Macaca fascicularis: one gene and its partners. The protein of the gene in region 1 purifies or fractionates together with the protein of each later gene. This does not show direct contact. Links are inferred from orthologs where the notes say so. Each region holds a gene or a part of one and is shown on either strand. Other genes may lie near its edges. The genes, in order: SNRPA1, SNRNP200, CDC40, SF3B5, SF3A2, DDX46 and U2AF2.

Region 1 (4,348 bases):
GTGAGTCCTGATGGCACCACTGCACTCTGGCCTAGGTGACAAAGCGAGACCCTGTCTTAAAAAAAAAAAAAAAATTCTAATCAAACACCATTAAGAGTGAAAAGGCAAGCCACAGCGTGTGTTCATATCCCTAATATATAAAGAAATTCCAAGAATCAATAAGAAAAAAGGCAGACAACTCCATAAGGAAAAAAATGAGCCAAGGACTCGAAAGAACACAAAGGAAGCTATCAGAATGGGCACCATACACATGAGAAAGTTCTCAGCTTCATTAGTTATTAGAGAAAAGCAAAGCAGTAGTGCAATACCACCACACACCCATCAGAATAGCTAAAGTTATAGACTTAAAATGCAAACAAGGCTGAAGCTGGAAGCCATGAAAACCCTTACACACCGCTGGAGTGTGTATATTATTTCAGCCTCTTAGTATAACTGTTGGGCATTACTTATTGATGATAGATATCATACCTTATGTCCCAGCAATTCCACTCCAGGAAAAACTCATGCAAATGTGCATCAGATCCACGTACCAGAAAATTCATAGCAGCATTACTCAGAATAGCCCTAAACAGAAAACAACTTTGATGTCCATCAACAGCAGAATAAGTAATTTATGGTATAATATATACGATGGAACTCTCTTCAGCAGCGAAAGCAAACAAACCATCTCTGTAGGCAACCTGGATGGACTCCAGACATAATATAGACTCAAAGAAACTAGGCCAAAAAAAGCATACTGCATGATTCTATTTATATCAAAAGCAAGCAAAACGAATCTGTAGTGTTGAGTTCGCGGTTGCCTTTGGGAAAGAGGAAGGCTTTCAGAATAGTGGTTTTTTGGATCTCGGTGTCGGCTAAGCAGTTGTGTTCACTCTGGTCATTAATCACGCTGTAAATTCATCATATGCACACTTTTCTGTATATCATACTTCATATGAATATTCAGAAGTCTAAAGGCCACAAGCTTAACCGCAAACCCTACCATGCCCTAGGCCAGGTTGGACTTGCGGAGCTGTGGGGTTGTCCCGGCGACCTGCCCCAGGCGGGCCACCTAGCCCGGGATCTCACACTGTAACCCGGAGCCAAGGCCCAGGCCCAGGACGGGTACCTGAACTCCTGGACCCTTCACTGAACCCCACGGGTCCCCGCGCCGGCTGGTGGAGGGAGAGCAGTCACAGCTTCCCGTCCCACCTCAAGGTGCGCTAATGCATGAAAAAGTTCCCCTCGGATGTTTCCACATTCGCCTTAACTTTTAAACACCAACGTCTGGAATCATAGGTTCTCCAGACTCCAAACACACCCCAGGAAAGAACCCAGAACCAGACACAGCCCCTGCGCGCCCGGCAAGACTTCCGGCAAGAACGACCCCGAAGGCGTGGCTCTTCGATTGCTTCGGCCTGGCGGGCGAGCTGCGCGCGCACTCGGCGGCTGCGATTGGTGCTGCCTGGCGGTGGGGCGCGGGGCACGCTGGGACGTCTCGCTGGCGGGAGGCCACGGGCTTTCCACGGCGCGAGGAGACGGGAGGCAGCAGGATGGTCAAGCTGACGGCGGAGCTGATCGAGCAGGCGGCGCAGTACACCAACGCGGTGCGCGACCGGGAGCTGGACCTCCGAGGTGAGTCCGAGGGCGTGGGCGGCCAGCCCCCGGGCGGCACCGCGTCGCCTTATTATCCGCGCTCTGCCGCGTGCACCGAAGGCCGGAGCTTGGCCCGCGGGCCGGTTGTCTGGGCTCCGACCGGGCTGCGCAGGGAACGCGGGGCCTGATTCTTGCCGTTGTTGCCAAATGAGCATCCCGTTAGGCTCTTGGAGCCTTCTCTTACCGCCGTGCCTCTTGACAGGCACGAGTGACTTCATTACTTCCTGGTGCATACTCGTGGGGCTCTATTAGGCCTTGCTTGGCTGTTTCGCAGTTGGCTCTGTTTGAGGGCCCGGAAGAGCGGCTCGTTAATGTTTGTAACGCTAGTGCAGGGCGAGTGATTGGTTCTTAATACTTGCCGCCAGACGATATTTTGAGCGTAGATGGGATATGTGTTCGTTGTTCCTAATGTGAGGGAGTAAACCAAGTCCCCGAACAACAGCGATTGTTTCCCCTAGTATTTTCTACTTAGTAGCTTTGTCTGGCGTTTCCCCTTTATGAAGACGTTTTAAAAATTGAACTGTGTGACCCAGGTTTGCACCGCCCTGTGCTGTGTGTAAGTTGTGGAAGCGCTCGCAATTATTCAGATTCCTGTACTATTTCAACCTTAGCAAGACTTGGTAAGATATTGGGAGGGCAGCTAGCTAGTTGGCATTTCAGGAGACGACTTTAAAAAGGATGTGAAGAGCAACTTCTCTGGGGATAAGACCATGCAGCCGTAGCCTGAGATTTGTTCCCACGGGGACCTATGGCTTTGGAGCAGCATCGCTGCGGGATCTGCTTAGATTTCTTGCTGACCTTTGGGAAATCCCGTTGTGGTGTGTTGTGTGTTGTGTTCTGCTTAGATTTCTTGCTGACCTTTGGGAAATCCCGTTGTGGTGTGTTATGTGTTGTGTTCTGCTTAGATTTCTTGCTGACCTTTGGGAAATCCCGTTGTGTTGTGTTGTGTTGTGTTGTGTTGTGATGTGATGGAGTCTCGCTCTTTCACCCCAGCTGGCGTGCAGTGGTGTGGTCTCGCCTCACTGCAACCTCCACCTCCCCGGTTCAAGTGATTCCTGTGCCTCAAGCCTCCCGAGTTGTTGGGATTACAGGCGTGAGCCACCACGCCTGGCTGATTTTTGTATTTTTAGTAGAGACGGGGTTTCGCCATGTTGGTCAGGCTAGTCTCGAATTCCTGACCTCAGGTGATCCGCCTCCGCCGGCCTCCCAGAGTGCTGGGATTAAGACGTGAACCACTGCGCTCGGCCCCCAGTATTTTTATTTTGTTGAAATTAAGTTTGTTAGAGAAAGGTTCAGTTCAAGAGCAACTCACCACTTTTTTTTTTTTTTTTTTTTTTTTGAGACGGAGTTTCGCTGTTGTTGCCCAGGCTAGAGTGCAATGGCGCGATGTCAGCTCACTGCAACCTCTGCCTCCCGGGTTCAAGCGATTCTCCTGCCTCAACCTCCCGAGTAGCTGGGATTACAGGCCTGCGCCATCACGCCCAGCTAATTTTGTATTTTTAGTAAAGACAGGGTTTCTCCATGTTGGTCAGGGTGGTCTCGAACTCCCGACCTCAGGTGATCCGTCCGCCGCGGTCTCCCAAAGTGCTGGGATTACAGGCTTGAGCCATTGCGCCCGGCCCAACTCACCACTTTTGATGATCTCTGCCATTTCTCTTTATGGAGTACGTGCAATATTGAGAATACGTATTTTGATGCAATACGTGTAGTATAGCTCTGAATTGTGCCCTTTAACTTTGGGTGAATTCTTTTTTAGTAGACCTTGCTTCTTCAGAATATTTCTTTTCTTATAGTGCCTAACACAGTAATTATGCTCAAATTGGACAAATTAACATTTGAGTGTTCACAGGTTTATTACTCTATGTAAACCATTGAGTTCTTCAACTCTAAATTGTAGCTGGGGGAGGGGAGGGAGAACTGTCATATCTTGAGGCTGTTCTGATGGGTTCTAAGAATCTGGCCCGTGGAGATGCAAGAGTGGAGAACTGTTATCCACAATGTTTGAACGCTGTTTGGGCACTGAGACTAAGCAGCTCAAAGTGTAAATTCCTGTTGTGCGGATTCCGCTTAACTAGCCCAAATGACTTAGAACAGTGTGAGGCACCTTGTAAATGTTCTTATAAATGTTAGCTACCTATATCACCCATTATTATTGTTCTTGTCCTTGTTGTCATTAGATTGTAAGCTTCATGGCACTGGGTACTTGAGACTCGTTCAGCATTTTCTCTCTAGTATCTTGTACAGTGGCAAGGCATGTATGACATGGCATAGGTGCTAGGTAATGCTTCCTGAATAAATCAAAGCCTGGAATCAGATACTATGAAATACTGCTAATGTTTTAAGGGGCTGTTTAGTTATATTAATACCTCTTGTGTGTTTTTTTTCCTCCATTTTACAGGGTATAAAATTCCCGTCATTGAAAATCTAGGTGCTACATTAGACCAGTTTGATGCTATTGATTTTTCTGACAATGAGATCAGGAAACTGGATGGTTTTCCTTTGTTGAGAAGACTGAAAACATTGTTAGTGAACAACAACAGAATATGGTAAGTGCCTATAGGGGAAAGTAATTTTTTCCCCCTAGGGTAAATGTTGCAGTGTTCCCTGAAGAAGTTGTAGCACGTACTACCGGTTAAACCTACATGGTTTTTTAAATTTAATTTTTATATTTTTAAAAAATATTTTTTCCATAATGGAAGCCACGTTCAATACA
Region 2 (3,730 bases), on another chromosome or scaffold:
GTTTTCTCCTGGATAGTCCCAGAGCAAGGCACCAGCAGCGTGGAGCTATCTCATAGCAATGTGTTACCTCTCATTCATGTTAGACCTTGTTCCTAGCCCGCCTTGCTGTGAGTTCTGAAACGTAACACAGGGTAAGCCACGGCCTGCCCATGAGGTAGTGAACCTGCTTCACCCAGAGACCCCTGTCCTCAGCCTTCTCTCCCCTTTTCTGCTCAGGGGCTATCCAGGTGGTGGTGGCTTCTCGGAGTCTCTGCTGGGGCATGAACGTGGCTGCCCACCTGGTAATCATCATGGACACCCAGTACTACAATGGCAAGATCCACGCGTGAGTACAGCTGGTGGTCTGTGTTAGCCCAGATCTTCCTAAAATGAGTGTGAATCTGCAGACACACAGAAAGCAAGCTAGGATGAAGGAAAGGTGTTAGGGAAGTTAACAGCTGAGATGCCACCAGAGCCAAGTATTTAGGAGTTTTGTGTCTCAATACCTAGGCTCACATTTGTTTTTTAGTCATTGTGCTTCCACATTCCGCAGTTGGGAGAGGTAGGCAGTTAGCGCCAGGAGGAATGTTTGACATTAGGTCATTAACCTCAAACATCTTGTAGATTAGGAAAAGCGACTTGGTCAAGGTCATACACCTATATAGTGACAAGAAGCTAGAAGAGTGCTGAGCGCGGTGGCTCATGCCTGTAATCCCAGCACTTTGGGAGGCTGAGGCAGGCGGATTGACAAGAAGCTAGAAGAGTGCTGAGCGCGGTGGCTCATGCCTGTAATCCCAGCACTTTGGGAGGCTGAGGCAGGCGGATCACTTGAGGTCAGGAGTTCCAGACCAGCCTGGCCAACACGGTGAAACCCCGTCTCTACTAAAAGTATAAAAATTAGCTGAGCGTGGTGGCACGTGCTTGTGCTTCCAGCTACTCAGGAGGCTGAGGCAGGAGAATCAGTTGAACCTGGGAGGCAGAGGTTGCAGTGAGCCAAGATTGTGCCATTGCATTCTAGCCTGGGCAACAGAGTGAGATTCCATCTCAAAAAAAAAAAAAGGCCAGGTGTGGTGACACGCGCCTGTAATCCCAGCTACTTGGGAGGCTGAGCAGGAGAATCGCTTGAACCCGGGAGGGGGAGGTTGCAGTGAGCCGAGCTCGCGCCACTGCACTCCAGTCTGAGCAACAGAGCGAGACTTCATCTCAAAAAAAAAAAAAAAAAAGTTAGAAGAGTCAATCATTCTCAGAAAAACATCTGCTTTTTTTTTTTTTTTTTTTTTTTTTTTTTTGAGACAATCTTGTTCTGTCATTTAGGCTGGAATGCAGTGGTATGATCTCGGCCCACTACAGCCTCTGCCTCCCAGGCTCAAGCAATCATCCTGCCTCAGTCTCCCAAGTAGCTGGGACTACCAGCATGTGCTGCCACTCTCAGCTAACTTTTGCTTTTTTTTTTTTTTTTTTTTTTTTTGTATAGATGGGTTTTCACCGTGTTGCCCAGGCTGGTCTTGAACTCCTGAGCTCAAATGATTCACCCACCCAAAGTGCCGGGATTACAGGCGTGAGTTATGGTGCCTGGCCCAATGCTTAATAACTTTTTCCCGAAATGCGGATTAGTTTGAAGTGAATTTTATTTACGGGTTCATTTTTAATGTTTGAGGCTGCTTCTAGGTTGGGTTAAAGTCAGGTGACTTGATGACTCATGAAATGCACAGCTGTGAAGTTTGGAAAGTGCGGCGGTGCGCACCTGTGGTGGCTGAAGTGCGAGGATCCCTTGAGCCTAGGAGGTCAAGGCTGCAGTGAGCCGTGGCTGTGCCACTGCACTCCAGCATGGACAGTAGAGCAAGATGCTCTATCAAAAAACAAACAAACAAATAAATAATTTTTTTAATTAAAGGAGAAAAGTTTGGGAAGTTTGACTTACATATTTGATCCTCGAATAGGAAGTTATTTTGGTTTTGGCATTAGATAGTTTTGTAGCTTGGTTCATGGCACTTGAGCAGCAAATTCATGGCCCTTACACTGAATGCTAAAATGATGTAGAGGCCAGCCAGTGAAGCCAGTTCTAAGTGCAGAGATTCATAAACAGAGTCGTGCTGTGATTTGACCATGCCTCCCCGTATTTACATTTTACTGTTAATTGGCGAAGGGAGTCGGGCCTCCTGAGCGTGGTCTCCGTGTTGAGGCGGCTTTTCCTTCTTTCCCCGCATCTGTCACCAGCTATGTGGATTACCCCATCTATGACGTGCTTCAGATGGTGGGTCACGCCAACCGCCCTTTGCAGGATGATGAGGGACGCTGCGTCATCATGTGTCAGGGCTCCAAGAAGGTCAGTCCTGGATTCATGCAGCCTCTTGGATCCAGAGCCTCAGAATGGATTCTTTAATCCTTTTGATAGACGTCTTCAGTAATTTTAGTCTCTTAACTTCTGTCTCTCTTATTTACACAATTCTTTTGTAACGAGCCTGCCACCCGTTTGGAATTTTGCTGCCTTTTGCTTTTGCTGCTGCCGTTGGCTCCACGTGTTGAGGGCTTTGCCCGCTAGTTGGTTCCCTCCTTCCTCACTGGGCTGCCCGCTGCTCTGCCCTTGTGACTTGCTGTGCCTCTGTTCCCACTGCGTATTGTCGCCAGTGACGCACTTTCTAAACCTGTAGCTTCTTCCATTTTGGTATTAGTTAGGTCTTGCACGGGGACCATGCCCTGTTGATTTGCCCTTGGCCCTTTGTGACCATGTTGTCACTAATTCTTGATTAATGCTGCTGCTTCTCCAACCCACAGGATTTCTTCAAGAAGTTCTTATATGAGCCATTGCCAGTGGAGTCTCATCTGGACCACTGTATGCATGACCACTTCAATGCTGAGATCGTCACCAAGACCATTGAGAACAAGCAGGACGCTGTGGACTACCTCACCTGGACCTTTCTGTACCGCCGCATGACACAGAACCCCAATTACTACAACCTGCAGGGTCAGTGGGCTTGGGAGCACACGTGATTCTTTGGTGCTTCCCACAGCCTTTGCTGGGCGTTTTCTCAAGGCTCCCCACTCACCTCTCACCTCCATAGGCATCTCCCATCGTCACTTGTCCGACCACTTGTCAGAGCTGGTGGAGCAGACCCTGAGTGACCTGGAGCAGTCCAAGTGCATCAGCATCGAGGACGAGATGGATGTGGCACCTCTGAACCTGGGCATGATCGCTGCCTACTATTACATCAACTACACCACCATTGGTGAGGCCCGGCACGGCCCGGGTCCTGTCTGTAGGAGCCTTCTCACACAGGGGTCAGGAGCCCACTGGGATGAGAGGTCTGCCCGTGTCCGTCAGCGGGATGACACTGCAGGGGAGAGCAGGGCAGCCCAGGCAGTTCTGCTCCTTCTCCGCTTGCTTTCGGCTTCTCTCAAATGTCCTTTTTCTGTCAGAGCTCTTCAGCATGTCCCTCAATGCCAAGACCAAGGTGCGAGGGCTCATCGAGATCATCTCCAATGCGGCAGAGTACGAGAACATTCCCATCCGGCACCATGAAGACAACCTGCTGAGGCAGGTGAGGACGGCAGCTTCAGGAGAACGTCCTGGGAACAACGAACTCTGCCTGTGTGCCCAGAGCACATGGCGTCCCTGCCACCAACACCCCCTTATGCATCCCCCGACCCCCACCATATGTCCTCCCCTCCATACCTCCCTCACACTCATCTCCATCCCACTGCCACCCACGTGCCTCGGGGTGTTGAAGGGCTGTGAGCCTGGGCCATGTGG
Region 3 (4,275 bases), on another chromosome or scaffold:
GGGTGGGCAGGGAAGCCCGGGCGGTGGCACCTCAGGTGAGACCCGCAGTCTCTCCGGCGAAAGCAGCCCCGGGGCGGTCCCTGCAGCCGAACCCCGGGCGCGCCCGCCGCCGTCTCCCTCGGCACCCAGCCCGGCTGGCGGGTGGGCGGTGGGCGCTCGGGAAACCCGCGGATGGGGGTGGGGGCCGGGGCGGGGGAGGCGCGCCCATCCATCCCCGTCACCTATGCGGGCCACACACCCCTCGGTCTGCTCCGGCCGGTGAGGAAGAGTTCCTCTCCCAGCACCCCCTCCCCGAAAAAAGCAATTCCTCAGGGACTCGCGCTCACCGTGAAATCTTGGGGGCTCTCGCTTACCCCTTCTTCATGCTTCGGCAGCGGTCGCCGGTCCCCCTCGGCTCGCGGGACTCCACCTAGGGCTCCCAGGAGGGTCGGGCTCTGGGGCGGAACCCGCTCAGGACAGCGGCCGAGGCGCCAGGCCACTGGGAACGCCGCCTGGGGCGCCCACCGGCCGCCGGACCCACCGTGTGCTCGACGCGCGAGTGAACAACACCGCGAGCTGCCGCTCCCCCCGCCCCCTCCCCGCGCGAGACGCTCCACAACCGGACGCAGGGACCCGCGCCAGAAGCAGGGGGGACCGCGGGACTCTCTCCGGCTATGGTCCCATCCTTGCCCCCTGCCCCAGGAGCTATTCCCGGCCAGTCAGAGGTCTCAAAACTTCAGATTCTCACTTTCCTCTTCACCCTCGAGTGCCCAGGTGCAGTCGAGGTGGGAAACCCAGCCTCCGCCCACTCCTCCATCGGTGGGGCCGAAGCTCGCTCTTCCCCCCTTTCCTGAGGTTCTGTGGTATTGCCCAATCCTCAGTTTGGGGGAGGGGGACGGAGAGAACAGTGCTTGGCTCGGGAATGAGGGAAGATGACAGCCAATTGAATGGAACATCCATTCGGGGGCGGGGTCAAGGAGGGACCCGCCCCCGTCCCGCCCCCTCGTTCCAAACTACACTTCCCATTGTGCCCTCTGGTGCTTCCTGCCGCGCTGCACGCTGGGAGTGCAGGACCGCGAGGCCTCAAGGTATTTTGGAACTCGTATTCTTTAGTCAACTAGGTCCTGAAAGTTATAAGCTATTATAATTCTCTCTTTTTCCCTAGATAAACTTTTTTAAGCTCTCATTTCGACAGTAGTTATTCTAATAATAATTAGCTTGTTGTTTTAAAATGTAAGAAATTATTTCTTAGCAAAGAAAGTTAATGATGGGTTCCATGGCAATCTGTCAGGACCTGGGAGCCTCCTCTTCTTCCGCCCTGACAGGGTCCCCGCAGAAGATTTGTTGCCGTCATGTCGGCTGCGATTGCAGCTCTGGCCGCTTCCTACGGTTCGGGTTCAGGGTCCGAATCTGACTCGGACAGTGAGAGCAGTCGATGTCCGCTGCCAGCCGCCGACTCCCTCATGCACTTGACTAAATCGCCTTCAGCCAAGCCGTCTCTAGCAGTGGCAGTGGACTCGGCTCCGGAGGTGGCAGTTAAGGTAAGCACCTTTGCTACTGATGCGGTGTGGGAATTGTTGGCTTCAGCTCTAAAACTGCCAGCCGCTTGTTAGGTCCCGGCTTACCTCATTGCTCAGAGATAAGTTGCTAACGTTTGAATTTCTTCTCCTTCCCACATGCATCCTCGGGAGAAGCAGAATTGGAAGTTCGGAATAGCCCTCCGATGCTCTCTGCCCTTACCTCCCGCCATCAGAAAGCAAGTGGAAAGAGGGGGTGAAATTTGAATTTGTGAATTAGGGACATAGCCTGTAAAGTGCAGATGTAATCTCGGAACATAAATAAAATTAGATCAGGACTTCCCAAACTAGAGTATTGTACCTTCACTTGAAGTGAGCAGTGGCCTCGATTTGTTTTATTTTTGAAAAACTGGGTTCTAATCCTGGCACCACCACTTATGTGAACTTGGGCAAGTTATGCAGCCTCCTCTCTTTCCTCACCTGTACAAGCAGAGATCATTTTCAAAACACCTGTCTACATGAGAAGATGAGTGTGAAAATTGAGTGAAATTACACAAATAAAGCATATAGCACAGAGCCTGGTAACTAGTGAGAGTGCAGTAAATGTTTTATGATTATGTATGTTAATACAGTGAGAAAAAGGCCTTGGATTTGAGAAACAGCTGCATGATCTCAATGGAGGAAGCTGATTCAGGCAAGAGTTTCCAGGCAAAGGTGACAGGCAAGCCTGAGAAGGCAAAGAGCTTAGTGTGTTTGAAGAACTGAGGAAAAGCTGATGTGTCTAGAGCCTGATGAGAGCATCTACCAATTGATAGTGTAGGCCCAGTAGAGCCCGAGGTAGGTGATCAGCTCAAGATGTGAAGATGGGAGGCGGTGTCCAAAAATTCCTTTGTATCATGTCCCTAAGTCTAGTTTAATGACTTAAGAAGTGTTTTACAGATTTTTAACAAGCTGTCTGTGAATTTTACTTTTTAAAAATGGGCATCTGGCATGAAAGAATGCTTAGAATCCTAACTTCCTATCAAAACAAAACTTTCCAAACTTACGCCCCTCCAGTAACCTCCTGAGTCTTCTCCTTTCACAGCTCAGCTTTTTGGAGCTCTCTTTTTGTCTTCATCTCATTTTCTCCTCAACCCGATGCAGTCTGGCCCTACCCTCTTGGGAAACTGTCTGTGAGTGATGTCCCAGGCCTTGCAGTTGTCAAGTTCAGCCATCTGACTTAAATGTCTGCATCAAATGACACTGTTCATTAGTTCCTCTTTCTTGAAACTTTCTCTCCGTTTCGCTTCCATGGGGCTCTACTCAGCATTCTGTTCCAATTATTTTACTCTCCCTTTTCAATACTGGTGTTTCCCAGGACTCTGCTCTTGGTCCTCTTTGCATTCCACATATTCTTCCATACCTTCAACCTCAGTCTGTGCTGCCCCTAGCTCAAGGTGAACACCGTGAAATGGTTAGCACAGGCTCTGGAATTAAGACTGTAATTCAAATCCTGCCTCCAGCACTTACCCACCTGGGGACCTTGGATAAGTTGCTTAAATGCTCAGCACCTAATTTTTACTGATCTGTAAAGTAGGAATAACAGTAGTACCGATCTAACAGAATTATAAGAATTGCCATAAAAGATGTAAAGCCCTTTTAACAGTGCCACATGCTTGCTATCCTTTTATTTCCAGTTCTATCCTCCTTGCTAGCTTACAACCTTGAGAGGTATATAAAAATCTCCCACTGTAATTGTACATTTGTTTCTTGCAGGTTGGCACTCAGCCACCTCCAGTTCAATGTGTTGAAAAATTATTTTCTTTCCCTCAAAATCCATTTCTGTTTTCCCCATTTTGATCTATGATCCCACGATCCACCCACTAGTTCAAGCCAAGAACAAAGGAGGTATCCTTTTCTCTTCCTTCTGCCTCAGCCCCTGAAGCTAGTCATTCAATTGATTCTAACATTTCTGTTTCATTAATTTATCTCATATCAACTCCTTCCTCACTATTTTCACTGGTGCAGGCTTCATATCTTCCTTATTTCTCCCAGGAGTTATTCTTTTCTTTCTCTTTCAGCCTCTTCTTTTGGATAGTGGGTCCTGTCCACTTTAACTCAATGATATTCATCAAATCTCTCTCTTCTGCTGCCACTGCTTAGTTCAGATTCTCATCATTTCTCTTCAGACAGTTGTAGCTTTCTAACTGATATTTCTACTTCTTCCTTTCTTGTCTCCCAGTGTTATACCCCATTCTTTTCTCCACAGGGCACCTAGAATGATCTTTGTAAATTCCACTTGCGTCCTATCACTTCCCTGCCCAAAGACACCATATTGTCCAGTGGGTAATTTCTAAGTTTTTTTGGTAGCATGTGAGGGCTGCTATTCTCCCATGCTGAACTCTTTACAAAGCCCTGAAAGCCAAATTTTCTTTCTTCCTCTGAAGATTTTGCCCACGCTAGTCTTTCTGCCTGGAAATCCCTTGCCTAGTGCCTCCTTCCCCCATTCCAAACACTATGGTCCTTCAGTCTCACTGCGCGTTTCCTCCTATTCTACCTTAGCCCCTTTATCATATCTTAACTATAGCACTTAGCACATTGCCGTGACTTGTTCATCTTTTTCTTTGCCCTGGACTGTGAGACCCTGGGGTCCAGAGACGTATCCGTTCGTTTGTGTCTCCGGTGCCTAGTACACAAGATTACGGAAGTATATTTGGTAAGAGAATAGAATGAAAAAGAAAGTCTTGTAAAAGTATGCACATTAAGAATCAGAAATGTAGAGCTGGACAGGCAGTGGCAG
Region 4 (2,879 bases), on another chromosome or scaffold:
CTTTGCTCAAATGTCACCATCTCAGTAACTTGTGTATCATATTTAAGATTATGGCCCTACCAACTACTCCCACCCACACCACGTACATTGTTCTCCCCTCCCCGCAGCATCTTCTAACATTTACTTATTACGTCTACAGTGTTTGACCTCCTTTCTCCACCACCAGCATAATGTAAGCCTCAAGACCATGGGAAAATGCCTGTCACATAGAGCTCAACAAATATTTGTTGAATATAGAAAGGATGAACTCACTTGCCAGCTTGTCATTTCTGGAGACATGGCCACAAATTCCCAAGAAAAAGAAAGGATGCATTTTAAAGAGGCTAAGGAGGACAATGACAGCAAAGACTGCAAAGACTTTTAAAACGGGAGAAAAAGAAAATGGGATACAATAACCACAAACTTCAATACTGAAGGCATTGTGGGCCTGAAAATAACGCTCTTGGGAGAAGTGGCAGTCGGGGAATTAATTATAATGGTAGACAGGGTGGATTTAAGTACCTGATCATGGACACTGGCATGCACTCCCTCCCCCGACCCATTTCCCGCTCGGGTCTTTCAGGAGCCCTCCACCCTAACACAGGAAGTTCACACCAAGAGAGTGAATGATTTCTAAACTTTATGGAAAAAGCCAATGACAATCAATTAGCCAAAAATGAGACGCCAAATCCCATCTCATTCCAGCGCCACGCCCTCTTCTCAAACGCTTGCCGGCTCTAGGCCCTCTTCACCAACACAGTTCTCAGGGGTTCTGCTGGTCTCCCAGTGCTATTCCAAAGGGTTCACATGAAGGCAGGTCAGGCGGGATTCCCCGGGCAAGCACTTCTGTACGCGGAAGTACCAGACGCAGGAGCCATGGAGAGCCGGTCCTTTGGAGGCAGAAATAGTCGAAGGGATTGGCCAACCTGAGGAACACTGGGAGAGGTGCCCCGCACAGTGGTGGTAAGGCAGAGTCTCAGTTCTCCTCGGGCTTGTCGGCTGGCGGTCCACAAGGCTGAAGCATCTTCTCCATCAAATTGAAGCGGACTCGCGCTTTGCTCTCATTCTCTGCAATGGCGAAGTAGTTGAGAAGGTCGAAGTGGCCCATGTAGGAGCAGTACGAGTCGCGGTGTTGGTTCACCAGCCACTCCCACTTGGTGGTGTCGGCGTGGCCCGTGCCGATGTACTTGGACTGCAGGTGCTCCAGCTGGCTGTGGATGGTGTAGCGGTCCGTCATCTCGCCGCTTTCCCCTTAGTTCCCAGGACAGAGGACGCAGACAACAAATCGCCGCTCTGGCGTTTCACGCGGGAGTGAGGCCACCGTGCGGAAGCTCCCGGCCCGCGCCGTCGCAGAAGAATGGCGTCACGACGACTAAGTAGCGTAAGTCTCGCTCATAGGGCTCAAAGGCGGAAGCGGAAGCACATTCTGTCACGGAATTGGAGTTGCCGAGGCGACGCCACAAGTGTGTCGCCCCTGTAGAGAGCCCCGCCCCGTCAGAGAGCTTTGCATGATGGTCCACTTGGTGGCTATGGGAAGCCCTTTTCCAACAGGGAGCCTTGCATGCTGGGACTTGTGGTCTTGGGAGTTCGTGCTCGTAGGCTTCTGGAACTCCTGGTCTCGTTTTGTTGTTTGAGACAGAGTCTCGCACTGTTACCGGGACTGCAGTGTAATGGCGCGATCTCGATTCACTGCAACTTAACGCCTCCTGGGTTCACGCGATTCTCCTGCCTCAGCCTCTCCAGTAGCTGGGATTACAGGCGCACACCACCACGCCAGGCCAATTTTTTTTTTTTTTTTTTTTTTTTTTTTTTTGTATTTTTAGTAGAGATGGGGTTTCACTGTCTTTGCCTGGCTGATCTCGAACTCCTGATTTCGTGATCCTCCCTCCTCGGACTTCCAAAATGCTGGGATTACAGGCGTGAGCCACTGCGCCAGGCCCCTGGTCGCGTTTTAAAAGTGATCTGGGGACCTAGTGGAGGGTGATGTCTGGGAGGTGGGGAGCATCCGTGGGTGGCTTGGGGCTGATGGGAAATGGGAAACCCAAGTAGGACTGGACTACAAGCAGCCCCGAAAATAAACTCTCCCTGTTTTCCAAAGCTATCATGGTAGCACAGCCATCCCTTCACAACCAGGGATGGATTTCCCAGAAGTCGGCAGGCACAAGTTCTGGTCCCAGCTATGTCTCTTAGGAGTCTGTGGCATAAAAGAGTTATTTCAGCTCTAACCAGGGTGCTTGGTGAGCAAGTACAGCACCAATTCCCACACATTCCGGCTTCCACCTCAAGCTCCTCCTTCCTCTCTAGCCACTTATTTTGATATCCTTCCTCCAAGGCCTCACTGCACCCTACTTGGCCCTTCCATTCAGTGGGTTTTGTGGATTCAACCGACCCGATTGAAAATATTTGGGGAAAAAGTCAGTCTGTACTGAAGTGTAGACTTTTTAAGGTTATTATTCCCTAAACAATACAGTATAACAACTATTTACATAGCATTTACATTGTATTAGGTATTGTTAAATAATCTGGAGACAAACTATACAGGAGAATGTGCATATGTGCAAATACAAGCCATTTTATATCAGGGACTTGAGCATCCTCTAGTTTTGGTATCCATGGGAGTCATGGAACAAATCACTCACGGATACTGAGGGACAACTGTACTTCTCCGTGTTACCTGTTGTGCCCATACCCATTTTCTTGTACAAGCTGTTCCCTCTACGTGGAATGTCTGTTCCCTTGGTGAATACATCTCCCAAAAAGGCAGCTCAAATGCATCTCCTTAGAGTTTTCTCTGGCTGCTCCAGACAGATGTAAACTCTCCTTCCTCTTTGCAGGTTATACATCTCTTCCTTGTTATTGCTTTATATCCTACCGTTTGGTTTAATAACTTCCTTACATGG
Region 5 (4,500 bases), on another chromosome or scaffold:
AGCCACTCTGGCAAACCAGCAGGGACTCCATCTTTCCCCGCAGAAGGGAATCTCTTAAGACCCAGGAGAACACCCCCCTCTCACTCCCCCTACCCCCACCTAATGCTAGACCCATGCTAGTTGTGGCAGTTGGGAAACGCTTTGGGTGGGGCTGGCCCAGCCTCTCTGTGAGTACAGCCTGGGCCCACAGGGAAGAAAGAGCAGAATCTGGAAGGAACCCAAGCTTAAGTGGACTTGGCAGGTGGGCGGGATGGTGCCCGCCAGGAGAACCTGACCTTGAGCTGCCCGTGGACAATGCATTCTTATGTCTGGGGAGGGTGGCGCCAGGCTGGGGACATAGAGGAGGCCTTGAGCGCCTGGGGAGGGGACAGTTGCAGCGCTGCTGGTGCCCCGGGCTGCGGGAGGCGCCGCTGGCTTCCCTAGCCCCACTCACTGATAGAGAAGGCGCCGGGCTCTTCCCGGATGACTCTGCACCGCTCCAGCAGCAGGGCTCCGACGGGCTGGAGGAGACACGGGCGCCGGGACGGAGCAGTGAGCACCCGGCCTCCGCGGGGCCCCAGCCTGGGACCCGCCCGCGCGCCCTCGACGCCCCTACCTCGGCCTCGTCTGTCCGGAAGTAGAAGAGGAAATTCACCACCAGCTTCACCAGCCGCCGCTTCAGCACTGCGGGCACAGCGCGCGCTCAGGGGCGCAGGCAGCCCCCGCCCGGACCCCGGCCTCCCGCACCCGGCGCCCCGACCCGGAATCCGGCCTCCGGCACCCGCGCCCGGACTGCGGCCCCAGCCTTCCGCCCCTGGCACTGTCCCGGTCTCCCGGGTCCCGCTCACCGCTGCCCTTCTTGGGGCCCCTCATGCCCAGCTCGGCCGCCATCTCGGCCGGCTGCCGGGACAGCGCCTGCAGCTCCTTCTCGTTGTACCGCATGGCTTCGCGGGGAACGGGAACCTGGACCGCGCCCTCCCGGCCGCCGTCCCCGTTCACGCCGGGGCCGGCGCCAAAAAGGTCTCAGGGCGCAGACACGGAAGCACCGCCGGGGCTAGTGCGCCTGCGCACTTTGGGCCGGCCATGCCGCCAGTCTCCAGTGCGTGGCGCTGGCGACCTGGGGCGGGGGGCGGGGGGGCGGTGCACGAGTTGGTAGCGGAGACGGACAGTCGTTACATAACCATTAAATTGAAATAAACCAGACAAAGGTGGAACAGCATCAAGGCACCCCCGCGATGGCTGGCACCCCTTCCTAGAGCGGCCAGGCGCAGGCGGAGGGAGCGATAACGTCTCCCGAAGAATGTCAGCCGCCCCTCGCGAAAGTTAGCCCAGCGCGGCCGCAGCGAACCAAGGGTTCGTTGGGGGCGTTGTGCGCACGCGCGGTTTGCCTTCCAGGCCGGGCGTTCAGCCCCGCCCCCTCCAGCCCTTTCCCTCGCGCCTCCTGACCCTCTGACTTGCGCCGCTGGGCGGGCCGGGCATGCGCACACCAGAGGGCCCGCCCCATTTGCCCCGGAAGTGCTTTCTTTGACCGCGACGCGCGTGCGCCGAACGAAGTCGTGGCGGTGGCGGATCGAGGAGATAACGCGCCCTCAGGCTCTGGTGAGGAGTGGAGCCGGTTGAGGGTGGCGGCCGACTCGGACCGGGGGTTCCCTGGGGAAGAGCGGACGTAGGAGAGAGGAGCTTGCGACAGGCCGCAGGCCGAGGGGCGGGCGGCGGCGTCGCTCCCCTCCCTCCTCCCGTGAGCGTCCGGCCTTGTGCATCCTGTAGGTCCCGCGTTGGGCGGGCCCGGAGGGTCGGGCCCCCTCGGAACTCTATTTCCAAACTCCTGTTGGGAGGCCGCGCGCGGGGGCTCACGCCTGTAATCTCACCGCTCAGGGAGGGCTTGGCGGGAGGATCGCTTGAGGCCAGGAGTTCGAGACCAGGCTGGACAACACAGCGAGACCCCATCTCTACAAAAAAATTTTAAAAATTAGCCAGGAGTGGTGGTTGTACCTGTAGCCCCAGCTACTCGAGAGGATCGCTTGATCCCGGAATGTCGAGGCTGCAGTGAGCCATGATCGCAATTGCACTCCAGCCTGGGCAACAGAGCAAGACCCTGTTTCACAAAATGAAAAAGAAACAACTAAGACTCGTTGGGATCAGATCGGGATCGCGGCTGAAATGGTTTGGGCCTCCTTCCTTGTAGCCGAGAACGCTTCTGCATGCTAATCTATACCTGTGAGTTCACTGGGGCTCTGTGATGTAACTCCTGTAAGCGTCATTCCCCTTAAAACGGGAGTGACAGCTTCAACACCATGCCAAAGGGGACCAGAAAACGTTAGCTGGCCCCATTTTGCAGGTGCACATGGCTGTGACCGTTGTTCGTGTGTATCCTTGGAGAACACCAAACAGCCAGGGGGAGCTTTGGAAAAGAGGTTGTTTGCTGGGTTTAACGAGAGAACGGTGTTGCCACCAAAAACTAATTCCTTCCCGCTGGTCCAGCCCCAGGTCTCGGAGGCCACCTTTCCTCAATTCTTAAGTTCATTTCCCCTGGTCGTCGTCGGTTTTTTGTCTCTCTGTTTGTTTTGAGACAGTGTCTTGCTCTGTCACCCAGGATGGAGTGAGTGCAGTGGTGCCATCACAGCTTACTGCAGCCTCGAACTCCCATGCTCAAGCCGTCCTCCTGCCTCAACCTCCCAAGTCGCTGGGACCACAGGTGCTCACCACCATGCCCGGCTAATTTTTGTATTTTTTGTAGAGACGGAGTTTGGCCATGTTGCCCAGGCTGGTCTCGAACTCTTGACCTCAGGTGATCCTTCCCCCCCCCACCCCCCCACAGCCTCCCAAAGTGGTAGGATTACAGGCATTAGCCACTACACCCGGCTCTTTTTTCTATTTTTTTGTAGAGATGGGGTTTTTCCACTCTGTTCCCTGATCTTTACTTTAGTAAATAACATACTTCTTCCTGGATTTATCAATTTGTAGACATCATCTGCTGATTTCCTGTCACGGCTGTTGAGATTTTCTCCCTCCTATCCACCCACTGCACCTTCGCCTTCCATATCCTGAATGAGTTTCTGTCGTGAGCACAGTTGGTCATTGGTTGTATTTTTTAAATAAGATGCAAAATGTTGTTGGCTGCTCAGGGCCGGGCGCAGTGGCTCACGCCTATAATCCCAGCACTTTGGGAGGCCAAGGCAGGTGGATCACGAGGTCAGGAGATTGAGACCACCCTGGCTAACATGGTGAAACCCCGTCTCTACTAAAAATACAAAAATTCAGCCAGGTGTGGTGGCGGGCACCTGTAGTCCCAGCTACTCGGGAGGCTGAGGCAGGAGAATGGCGTGAACCCAGGAGGCGGAGCTTGCAGTGAGCTGAGATCACGCCACTGCACTCCAGCTTGGGAGACACAGCGAGATTCCATCTCAAAAAAATATATGTATATGGCCGGGCGCGGTGGCTCACGCCTGTAATCCCAGCACTTTGGGAGGCCGAGGCGGGCGGATCACAAGGTCAGGAGATCGAGACCACGGTGAAACCCCGTCTCTACTAAAAATACAAAAAATTAGCCGGGCGCGGTTTTGGGCGCCTGTAGTCCCAGCTACTCGGGAGGCTGAGGCAGGAGAATGGCGTGAACCCGGGAGGCGGAGCTTGCAGTGAGCCGAGATCGCACCACTGCACTCCAGCCTGGGCGACAGAGCGAGACTCCGTCTCAAAAAAAAAAAATATATATATATATATGTATATATGTATATATGTATATATATGTATATATGTGTATATATGTATATATATGTATATATATGTGTATATATGTATATATATACACACACACACACACATACACACATGTATATGTATATATATTTAGTTGGCTGCTAAAACAAGTAATGTGTTCAACTGGGCTTTTGTTGTAGCATTCTATTTTCCCTTAAAGCTAATTAACTTTGTTTTTACCATTAGCCTTTCTTTTCCCTACTGTTTGTTTATTTCCCCACAAAGCTCCAGCATCTCACACCTATCAGTTGTGTTTTGCACAGGTTTAAATGAATTGATCTCCCCCTCCCCACTGCCCTCCAAGACTCCCGTATCCTCCTCCTCCAAATGGGACTGATTGTGCTCTGCCTGGGTGGAGCTGGTGTCCCAAACCTTCCTGTCCTTGCTGCCCTGTGCTGACCTCTGTTCCCAGTGTGGCCATCTTTTCCTCTTCCTGCTGTCAGAGCAGAACTTCTGGGAGCTTTGGAAGAAATAGATGATTTTTTTCGGGGATGGGGGAAGTCTTTGATTGCCTGAAAATGAGTTTATTTACCCTCATAGTTAGAAGTTTGGTGGGGTATAAAAATCTAGATTGAAAATCCATATTTGGCCGGGCGCGGTGGCTCAAGCCTGTAATCCCAGCACTTTGGGAGGCCGAGATGGGCGGATCACAAGGTCAGGAGATCGAGACCATCCTGGCTAACACGGTGAAACCCCGTCTCTACTAAAAAATACAAAAACTAGCCGGGCGAGGTGGCGGACGCCTGTAGTCCCAGCTACTCGGGA
Region 6 (3,730 bases), on another chromosome or scaffold:
TAATTTACCAGTTAAATCTAGGTGAGAGTGTCATTTTCCTTCTTTTTAAAGTTGCACAAAAGTATCAACAAACTTCACACCAACTCGTACCAAGCAATGTGTTTTCCTCCTAAATTTCATTTTTTGTTGTAATTTTCAGTCTGACTTGGGTCTTGATTCTTCCGTTTCTTTTCCCTTCTGGCACTCACCTTCCCCACATAGTTTTATAATGTTGTGGTTCGTGGCTAGTGGAGGTAGAGGATTTAAATTAGATATGTTGCTATGACTTCATAGCCATAGCCTTGATTCTTTCCTTCCTGTCGTGAAACTGTTTCTGCCTCTCTTTCTGTCTCTGTCTCTGTCTCTCTCTCGGGACAGAAAAGTTACTTATTTCTAATACGGGGGGAAATTTTCTAATTTATTATAAATCTTTCCCTCATTTGTGTTTTTTAATATACAAAATGATAAAAATATAGCTCTCTACATTGCAGACCCAGTGCTCCTTTTGTTCTTAGACATTTCAGTCTTTAGTTTTCTTTGATTAAGCTCTTTTTCTCTTCTCAGCGTGCAATGTGGTGCCTATCTGTACTTTCCTACTCACTGGCATTGTCTATTGGCTCCAGATTCTACCCAGCCTACCCTTGATGGCTCTCTGATCTCTGCCACTTCTAAACTTCTAGTCCATATTTCCATTGACCTCATTTATATTTTCAACTGGATGTCCAATGAGCACCTCAACTACAGCAATTTTAGAATTAAATTTCACCCAGTATCACTATCCAAAAAACACTTGTTTTTCCTCCTGGAATCAATATATTCTTTTATTACTTCTACCTTTTTTCACTTGCCAGCCAGCTCTTAATATCTTGTTTCTCTTTTCCACTGTTCACATCCCATCAGAAAAAATATCTTGTCCATTCTACCTCAAAAATGTGCTCTTGTGATGGTATAAATACAATATTGTGAGAACACTAAAGAAGAAAACACTTAACTGCCTCGAAGAGTCAGGAAAAGCTTCCTAAAAATGGTATTTAAAAGTGAATTTAGTAAACTACTTCCTATTCATCCTGTTGTAATGTCTTTACAAGTTTGTTTTGCTAATCTGTATGCTTTTAAAGAGCATGAATTTGTTCTTTATATATTAAATCTCTCACAGTATGTGAGAGGCAAGTGCTTAATTTTTGTGAAATTAATAACTGTGAATGAATGTCTGCAGCCTGCCTCATCTAGTCAGCTATTTTGCCGTGTTCTTTCACACATTTTTCCAACCAGGCTACACTTCTCTTACTCTTCAGCAATTAAGCATGCTTGTCTTAACTCTGTACCACTACATATGTAATTCTCCTTGCAAAATACTCTTCCTGGTATCTTTCCTCCCTCCAAGTGGCTAGTCCTCCTTTCATTTTAAAGATTTTGTTCGTACGTCACCCTTCTGAAACATTTGCAGACTTCAGTGTAAATAATAAATGTCTAATAAATACTTGCTAAATGAATAAACCAAGGAAGTTATATTTCCCTGTAGCCTTCTCTTACTATCTTCTGGACAAATCGCTAATAGTCTTTTTATTCCACTCTTTTTAGTTACCATACTAGGAACTCTTAACACATAATATGACCTCAGTGGTTACATTTGAAACTCTGAAAGTAATCAAAATCATAAGCAGCCATTATATAATGTGGGTAATGTTCCACCAGGCATTAAATGGCCATCTTGGCAGGCAGTACAATGTTTCTAAAAGTCACCTACAGTGTTTCTTCCTGGACCTCCATGATATGGGTAAACACAGTGTAATTTTAGTAATGTGAATAAGATGCTTTCCACTCAATCACCAGGTGCCAATGAACTGGCTGTGCAGAAAGCAAAGGCAGAAATCACCAGGCTCATAAAAGAAGAGCTGATCCGGCTGGTGAGTGAAAACCTTAAAGTTTCATTTGTTTTGTTTTAATAAGTGTTTTATTGAAATATAAATACAGACAAGTACGCAAATCATAAACATATAGTTTGATGAATTTTCACAAAGTAATAAGCATACCAGTGTAATCACTACCCAGATCAAGAAATAAAAAACATTACTAATATCCCAGAAGTCTTCTCCGTGTCCATTCTTATCACTATTCATCTCCCCGCAACAAAACTGTACCTTGAATTTTTTTTTTTTTTTTTTTTTGAGACGGAGTCTTGCCCTGTCATCTGAGCTGAAGTGCAATGGCGCGATCTCGGCTCACTGCAACCTCCGCCTCACCCTCCTAAGTAGCTGGGATTACAGGTGCCTGCCACCACACCTGGCTAATATTTTGTATTTTTAGTAGAGACGGGGTTTCACTATGTTGGCAAGGCTGGTCTCGAACTCCTGACCTCATGATTCACCTGCCTCGGCCTCCCAGAGTGCTGGGATTACAGGCGTGAGCCACCGTGCCCAGCCCCATATTGTGAATTTTAAAATCATAGATTAGTTTTCCTTATTTTTGAACTCCACATAAGTGGAATCACGTGTTTGCACCTTTTGCATCTAGTTTCCTTCAATCAACATTTTGAGGAGATCGGTCCGTGTTATTGCATGTAGCAATAATTCACTCATTTTCATGGCCATATAATATTTATATGAATGTATAACAGTTGATTTATATTTATATATTGGATTTGAGGGCTATTCCTTTTTTGTTTTTATGAATAACACTTCTGTGAACATTATTCCATGTGCATTTGGAATATATTAGCATGATTTTTTCTTGGGTATATACCTTGGAGTAGAATTGTTAATTATAGGCTAGGTATTGCCAGATAGTTTTCCAAAGAGGTTACATCAATTCACACTTAATCAAGCAGTGTATGAAAATTACAGTTGTTCTACATCTTTGCCAACACATGGTGTTGTCAGTGTCTTTAAACTTAAACAATGACTTAATTTGATTTTGGAAAAAGCCCTTTACAGACTGCCTTTGCAGTGGAGGTAGATATGTCCTTGTGTCTTTAGTGCCGGTTGCAGCTTATGAACACTCCCTACAGTGTGTACATTTCCTTTGAAAGGAAACGTCTTTTCTCTAAGTGTACTTCTGAGAGCTTTTCTAAAACTCCCCTCAGAGAGCATTCCTTTTTTTGGCGGGGGGGTTAGAAGTTTAATGAAAAGAGGGTTCAGAAAACAAGAGGGAAAAAGTAAAACAGCTGTTCAATCACGTGCTTAAGACTATTTCAACAAGGAGTGATAGAAAAGAATCTTGTGCCCATAGATGCTACCACCATTAAGTTGATTTCAAAACATAGTTGTTAAGGAATAGTTAAGTGAACAGAGAAATCATTAGTTATTGAATAGTTTTTCCTTTCTCAGTGCAGTAATATTAACATTTAAAATTTTAAATAACCAATAGTTTTACAAGTTAGCAAAAGAAATGATCTTAAATATTTCCCTTTTGGGTTTGTTTGGTTGGTTGGTTGGTTTTTTGTTGTTGTTGTTTGTTTTGCTTTCTCTGATGACATATCTTTTATTTCCTATTACAGCAAAATTCATACCAACCAACAAATAAAGGAAGATACAAAGTCTTATAGACATCCGGAAAAAAGATTTTTACCTCTGCTGGTCTATGATAGATGTGGCAGTTGCAGTCTGCAGTTTACAATGTATTGTAAATTAAGATTTTTAAAAATTCTGTCTTGCTGATTTTTTTTAAATACAAGAAACTAGTATTTGGTAAAGAAATCTGTCCGTAAGTACCCCCACAATCAATCAAACTATATTTAAAGCCGGCCTGTTTT
Region 7 (3,730 bases), on another chromosome or scaffold:
TTTCCTAGCTGTCTGGCCTTGGGCAACTGTGATCTCTCTGAACCTTAGTTTTCTACCCATTAGGTCAGCCCCCCGCAGCGTTTTTCCGAAACAGTAGTGAGGATTAAGAACAAACAAAGCTATTTAGTACAGAAGCATCTCAGTATTTGTTTCTGTTTTTTTCCCTTCTGGGTGCATATTTTTCTGAGTGTTGGTGGTTTTGGAATTGTGATGCTTTTCCAAACATTCAAATTGCATCACAAAAACATAAGACAAAACGCTGTGGGTGAGGCTAAAGTTTAACATCCTCCCTCAGTGCCTTTTCCTCCTCTTGTCCCCAGGGATGATCACTCCAGGAGATGCGTGTTAACATGAGCACCTTAACGTGTGCATCTTTTTTGTGTGAGTGCTTCGTGGCTAGTTGAGAAATCTGGGTGTCTTTGAATTAAGGAAATGGTATGGCGGTGCTCATGAACACCCTCAATGCTCATGCTTTATTCTCCATCTTAAAGGGCCGGTCGTCCTTCTTCAGGGGTTGAAGGGTCTGGTGAGAGCAGAGGTCTCTGTGGTTTTAGCAGCAAGGCTCTGTTTCTAGTGGCTACGTCAGGCAAATGCAGGGTTGAGGGAGCCGGCTGGAGGCTGGCAGAGATGCATGCCCCTACCCTACAGTACAGCCTCTCCAGCGCTTGGCTTTGAAGGGAGTGAGGCCGGGAGAATCAAGTGGTTTGGGATTCAAGTCTGGATGGGGCAAGCTCCTCCCCTGTCCTGCTGAAGGAGAGGAGGGCCTCTTTCCCCTTCAGTCTGCGGATTCTCTGAGGCCCTTCCCTTCCCCTGGGGAAGGGTGCTTGCTTCTGCATTATTCACTGGCTTGGGAAGGGATGGGTTGAGTTTCCCTGCTTCCTGGGGACATCAGATCCTGCCTGGCACCTGACCCCCAGGCCTGATGGTGGGGCTGTGGGTGCCAGCTGGTTGCAGAGGTCTTTCCTGAGGGGTCGCTGGGTCCCTTCAGGAAAACATCATTGGGTCTCTTGATTCCCCAGCCTCTAGCCCTGCCCCTCTCAGGGACGACCCTGGGGTCAGGCCCCTCAGCCCTCGAGGGGACCAGGAGCCAGCCTCCTCTGTCTTCTCTGGCTCCCAGCTCCTCCTGAGCATCCTCAGGTATCTCACACCCCGGGGGCATTTCCAGGCCCCGTCCCCCTGGTCCCCTCGTGGTCCCTGGACTCGCTTGTGGACCCAGGAGGCCTGTTAATTCCCTTCCTCCATTGGATCCCTTCCCTTTGGGGGTGGCCTCCCTGGGGCTGGGGACATAGCCACCAGCGCGCAGGGTGGGCTGGGTCCGCAGCCTTACTCCGCTCATCCCTTGCCCCTCCTCTCACCCTTGCCCAGAGAGGGACAAGGAGAACCGGCATAGGAAGCGCAGCCACAGCCGCTCTCGAAGCCGGGACCGCAAACGCCGGAGCCGGAGCCGTGACCGGCGCAACCGGGACCAGCGGAGCGCCTCCCGGGACAGGCGGCGACGAAGGTACTAGGACTCAGGGATCCTCCTGGGGCAGCCTGGGAGTCGGGGGGTTGGTGTTGGCCGTCCTGTGGGTGGCCTGTGCGTGTCTGTCTGGGCCCGGGCCCTGTGTGGCTCGTTTGTTCTTCGTATGCATCTGGGGGAGGGATCTACTGCTTGGTCTGTCTTGAATTCCGATTTTTTTCCCCTCTTTCTGGGGTTTCTTTCATTTTCTCTTGGTGGTTGCTGGTGGGTTGCTGGGGGCAGTAGGTTCTTTATCTGGAGCCTGGGAATTGATTCTGTGTTTTCCTTCACAAGGGGCTGTTCTCTGTCTCTGACTCTGAGGGCCTGTTCCTTCTTTTCGACTCTCTGTGGCTCTCTGTGGGACTCTCTTCGAGGGGGTTGGTCTCTGCCTCCAGTTTCTTTCTTCCCTGCCTCCCAGGAGAAGGGAGCTCTTGGGACTGAGGCAGTATCCACAGCCTGGGCTTACTTTCTGGCCCAGGGGTGTTGGTTTCCACCGCCTCTTCCCTTCTAGGCTTCCCTCTCTGTTCTCTGCCCCCTTAGGTGAGGAAGGGCAGGATAGGCGGAAGTCCTCCTGCCTCCTCCCAGCTCAGTTTCTCCAGCTAGAGACCGGTCCTTCTTGGCCCCTGGCCCCTGGCCCCTTTCTCCTTTCCTCACTTCCTCTTTCCTGGGGGTTGGGAGTGTTTGGGGGGAAATAGCAGGGCCGAGGGGGGCCTGCTTGCTGCTTGTTCACCTCGGCCCTGCTCCCGCCCTGGGGCTCAGTGCCCTTGGGGGGGTGTGGCATGTGGGGAAGACGAGGGTCCCCAGTCACCCCTCCCCATACCTTTCCCTCCCACCCCCCAGCAAACCTTTGACCAGAGGCGCTAAAGAGGAGCACGGTGGACTGATGTGAGCTTCTCTTCCTGCCCCTTCCTCCCTGATGTCCACTCCCTTCACCTTCCTCACGCCCGTGCACCCTGTCCCGCCCGTTTCCAGCCCTGGCCCAAGCACTGGGAAGAGTCCACTTACCTTGAAACCAGCACCCCTCCCCCAGGCCCTGCCCCAGACCCTCTCCTTCCCTGGAGAGAGTGGAGCTTACATGGTTGGGGGGAGGGTGAAAGGGTGCCTGGGAGGGGGCTTGCAGGCCCCCTGTTAGTCAGACTGAGGTTGCCCTGCCCCGCTCTCCCCTCCCACCTCCCCCAGTCGTTCCCCCCGCCATGAGAAGAAGAAGAAGGTCCGTAAATACTGGGACGTGCCACCTCCGGGCTTTGAGCACATCACCCCAATGCAGTACAAGGCCATGCAAGGTAGGGCCCTGACCGGGCTGCTCCCAGAGCGAGAGGGTGCAGGGGCTGGGATTCTCCGTCAGTCATTCCCCTGCGTGTGTGCGTGGAGGGGGTCGAGGACACAGGTGGAGGGTTGCACACCCTTGGGAGGTCTGGTCTCTGTGCTTTTGAGGCCTCCCTCTGGACGCCATTAGGAAGTGAGGCTTCTTAGGAGTAGCAGTTACAGGGTGGGGGTCCCGAGGTGGAAAGAGGATTCTGGAAGGTGCTAGGGCCGAGAGCCTGTAGGAGCTTTTTGCCGAGGAGGGGAACTCCCAGCGTGTGGTGGGGGGAGGTCACTGAACACTCCCCTGATGGGGTTTTATCCTGCTTTTACCCCCTTTGAAGCTGCGGGTCAGATTCCAGCCACTGCTCTTCTCCCCACCATGACCCCTGACGGTCTGGCTGTGACCCCAACGCCGGTGCCCGTGGTTGGGAGCCAGATGACTAGACAAGCCCGGCGCCTCTACGTGGGCAACATCCCCTTTGGCATCACTGAGGTACTGCCCTCCCCCTGCCCTCCCCTCTCCCTTGTCCCCTACCCCATTCCTCCCCTTCCCTCCATTCCCTTTCCCCAACCTGCACGGGTCAGACTCTGCTCCTGCAAGCCCCCCCGGCCCCCTCCCAGACGGACCGATGGAGTTGAGCCAGCCAGGGGCCGGGCTGGGGGTGGCCCTCCCTCCCTCCTCTTCCCTCTCCCGTCTCCCCTCCCCCCAACCTCCTCCAGCAACCCAGGGATCAAGCACACACATAATGTACCCACGTGTTGTACCTACGTGTCGGAGAGAGACAGAGAGGGAGACTTGGACACACACACACACACACACAGACGCACGCTGCCCCTCAGTTTTTTTCTGACACGCCTCTCCTTCTCTGCCGCCTGTCCCCCATCCTCTCCCCCACGTCCCTCCCATGGTCGCTGTTCTTTTATTTT

What was found.
Region 2: the proteins of SNRPA1 (region 1) and SNRNP200 fractionate together in Homo sapiens (co-fractionation; 3 studies listed by BioGRID). This does not show direct contact. The link is inferred for Macaca fascicularis from reciprocal best matches to the Homo sapiens genes SNRPA1 and SNRNP200.
Region 3: the proteins of SNRPA1 (region 1) and CDC40 purify together in Homo sapiens (affinity purification with mass spectrometry; 3 studies listed by BioGRID and IntAct, counting the BioPlex papers as one, with this or other methods). This does not show direct contact. The link is inferred for Macaca fascicularis from reciprocal best matches to the Homo sapiens genes SNRPA1 and CDC40.
Region 4: the proteins of SNRPA1 (region 1) and SF3B5 purify together in Homo sapiens (affinity purification with mass spectrometry; 5 studies listed by BioGRID and IntAct, counting the BioPlex papers as one, with this or other methods). This does not show direct contact. The link is inferred for Macaca fascicularis from reciprocal best matches to the Homo sapiens genes SNRPA1 and SF3B5.
Region 5: the proteins of SNRPA1 (region 1) and SF3A2 purify together in Homo sapiens (affinity purification with mass spectrometry; 8 studies listed by BioGRID and IntAct, counting the BioPlex papers as one, with this or other methods). This does not show direct contact. The link is inferred for Macaca fascicularis from reciprocal best matches to the Homo sapiens genes SNRPA1 and SF3A2.
Region 6: the proteins of SNRPA1 (region 1) and DDX46 purify together in Homo sapiens (affinity purification with mass spectrometry; 3 studies listed by BioGRID and IntAct, counting the BioPlex papers as one, with this or other methods). This does not show direct contact. The link is inferred for Macaca fascicularis from reciprocal best matches to the Homo sapiens genes SNRPA1 and DDX46.
Region 7: the proteins of SNRPA1 (region 1) and U2AF2 fractionate together in Homo sapiens (co-fractionation; 3 studies listed by BioGRID, with this or other methods). This does not show direct contact. The link is inferred for Macaca fascicularis from reciprocal best matches to the Homo sapiens genes SNRPA1 and U2AF2.

The regions. Positions count from the first base shown.
Region 1 is NC_088381.1:86,346,143-86,350,490, reverse strand, and holds the start of SNRPA1 (U2 small nuclear ribonucleoprotein A'), read left to right. Parts: upstream 1-1,459; 5' UTR 1,460-1,532; coding exon 1,533-1,614; intron 1,615-4,033; coding exon 4,034-4,181; intron 4,182-4,348. UniProt on the Homo sapiens protein: Involved in pre-mRNA splicing as component of the spliceosome. Associated with sn-RNP U2, where it contributes to the binding of stem loop IV of U2 snRNA.
Region 2 is NC_088387.1:1,362,463-1,366,192, reverse strand, and holds part of SNRNP200 (U5 small nuclear ribonucleoprotein 200 kDa helicase), read left to right. Parts: intron 1-216; coding exon 217-325; intron 326-2,196; coding exon 2,197-2,305; intron 2,306-2,754; coding exon 2,755-2,944; intron 2,945-3,041; coding exon 3,042-3,206; intron 3,207-3,396; coding exon 3,397-3,518; intron 3,519-3,730. UniProt on the Homo sapiens protein: Catalyzes the ATP-dependent unwinding of U4/U6 RNA duplices, an essential step in the assembly of a catalytically active spliceosome. Plays a role in pre-mRNA splicing as a core component of precatalytic, catalytic and postcatalytic spliceosomal complexes.
Region 3 is NC_088378.1:14,211,664-14,215,938, forward strand, and holds the start of CDC40 (pre-mRNA-processing factor 17), read left to right. Parts: upstream 1-1,313; 5' UTR 1,314-1,331; coding exon 1,332-1,520; intron 1,521-4,275. UniProt on the Homo sapiens protein: Required for pre-mRNA splicing as component of the activated spliceosome. Plays an important role in embryonic brain development; this function does not require proline isomerization.
Region 4 is NC_088378.1:48,298,806-48,301,684, forward strand, and holds SF3B5 (splicing factor 3B subunit 5), read right to left. Parts: upstream 1,293-2,879; 5' UTR 1,217-1,292; coding exon 956-1,216; 3' UTR 607-955; downstream 1-606. UniProt on the Homo sapiens protein: Component of the 17S U2 SnRNP complex of the spliceosome, a large ribonucleoprotein complex that removes introns from transcribed pre-mRNAs.
Region 5 is NC_088393.1:2,892,804-2,897,303, forward strand, and holds the start of SF3A2 (splicing factor 3A subunit 2), read left to right. Parts: upstream 1-1,525; 5' UTR 1,526-2,196; intron 2,197-4,500. Other genes in the region: PLEKHJ1 (pleckstrin homology domain-containing family J member 1), read right to left, coding at 434-500, 596-663, 828-921. UniProt on the Homo sapiens protein: Component of the 17S U2 SnRNP complex of the spliceosome, a large ribonucleoprotein complex that removes introns from transcribed pre-mRNAs.
Region 6 is NC_088380.1:141,369,510-141,373,239, forward strand, and holds part of DDX46 (probable ATP-dependent RNA helicase DDX46), read left to right. Parts: intron 1-1,812; coding exon 1,813-1,886; intron 1,887-3,475; coding exon 3,476-3,523; 3' UTR 3,524-3,730. UniProt on the Homo sapiens protein: Component of the 17S U2 SnRNP complex of the spliceosome, a large ribonucleoprotein complex that removes introns from transcribed pre-mRNAs.
Region 7 is NC_088393.1:63,612,799-63,616,528, forward strand, and holds part of U2AF2 (splicing factor U2AF 65 kDa subunit), read left to right. Parts: intron 1-1,019; exon of another isoform or gene 1,020-1,137; intron 1,138-1,365; coding exon 1,366-1,501; intron 1,502-2,338; coding exon 2,339-2,383; intron 2,384-2,677; coding exon 2,678-2,781; intron 2,782-3,144; coding exon 3,145-3,296; intron 3,297-3,730. UniProt on the Homo sapiens protein: Plays a role in pre-mRNA splicing and 3'-end processing. By recruiting PRPF19 and the PRP19C/Prp19 complex/NTC/Nineteen complex to the RNA polymerase II C-terminal domain (CTD), and thereby pre-mRNA, may couple transcription to splicing.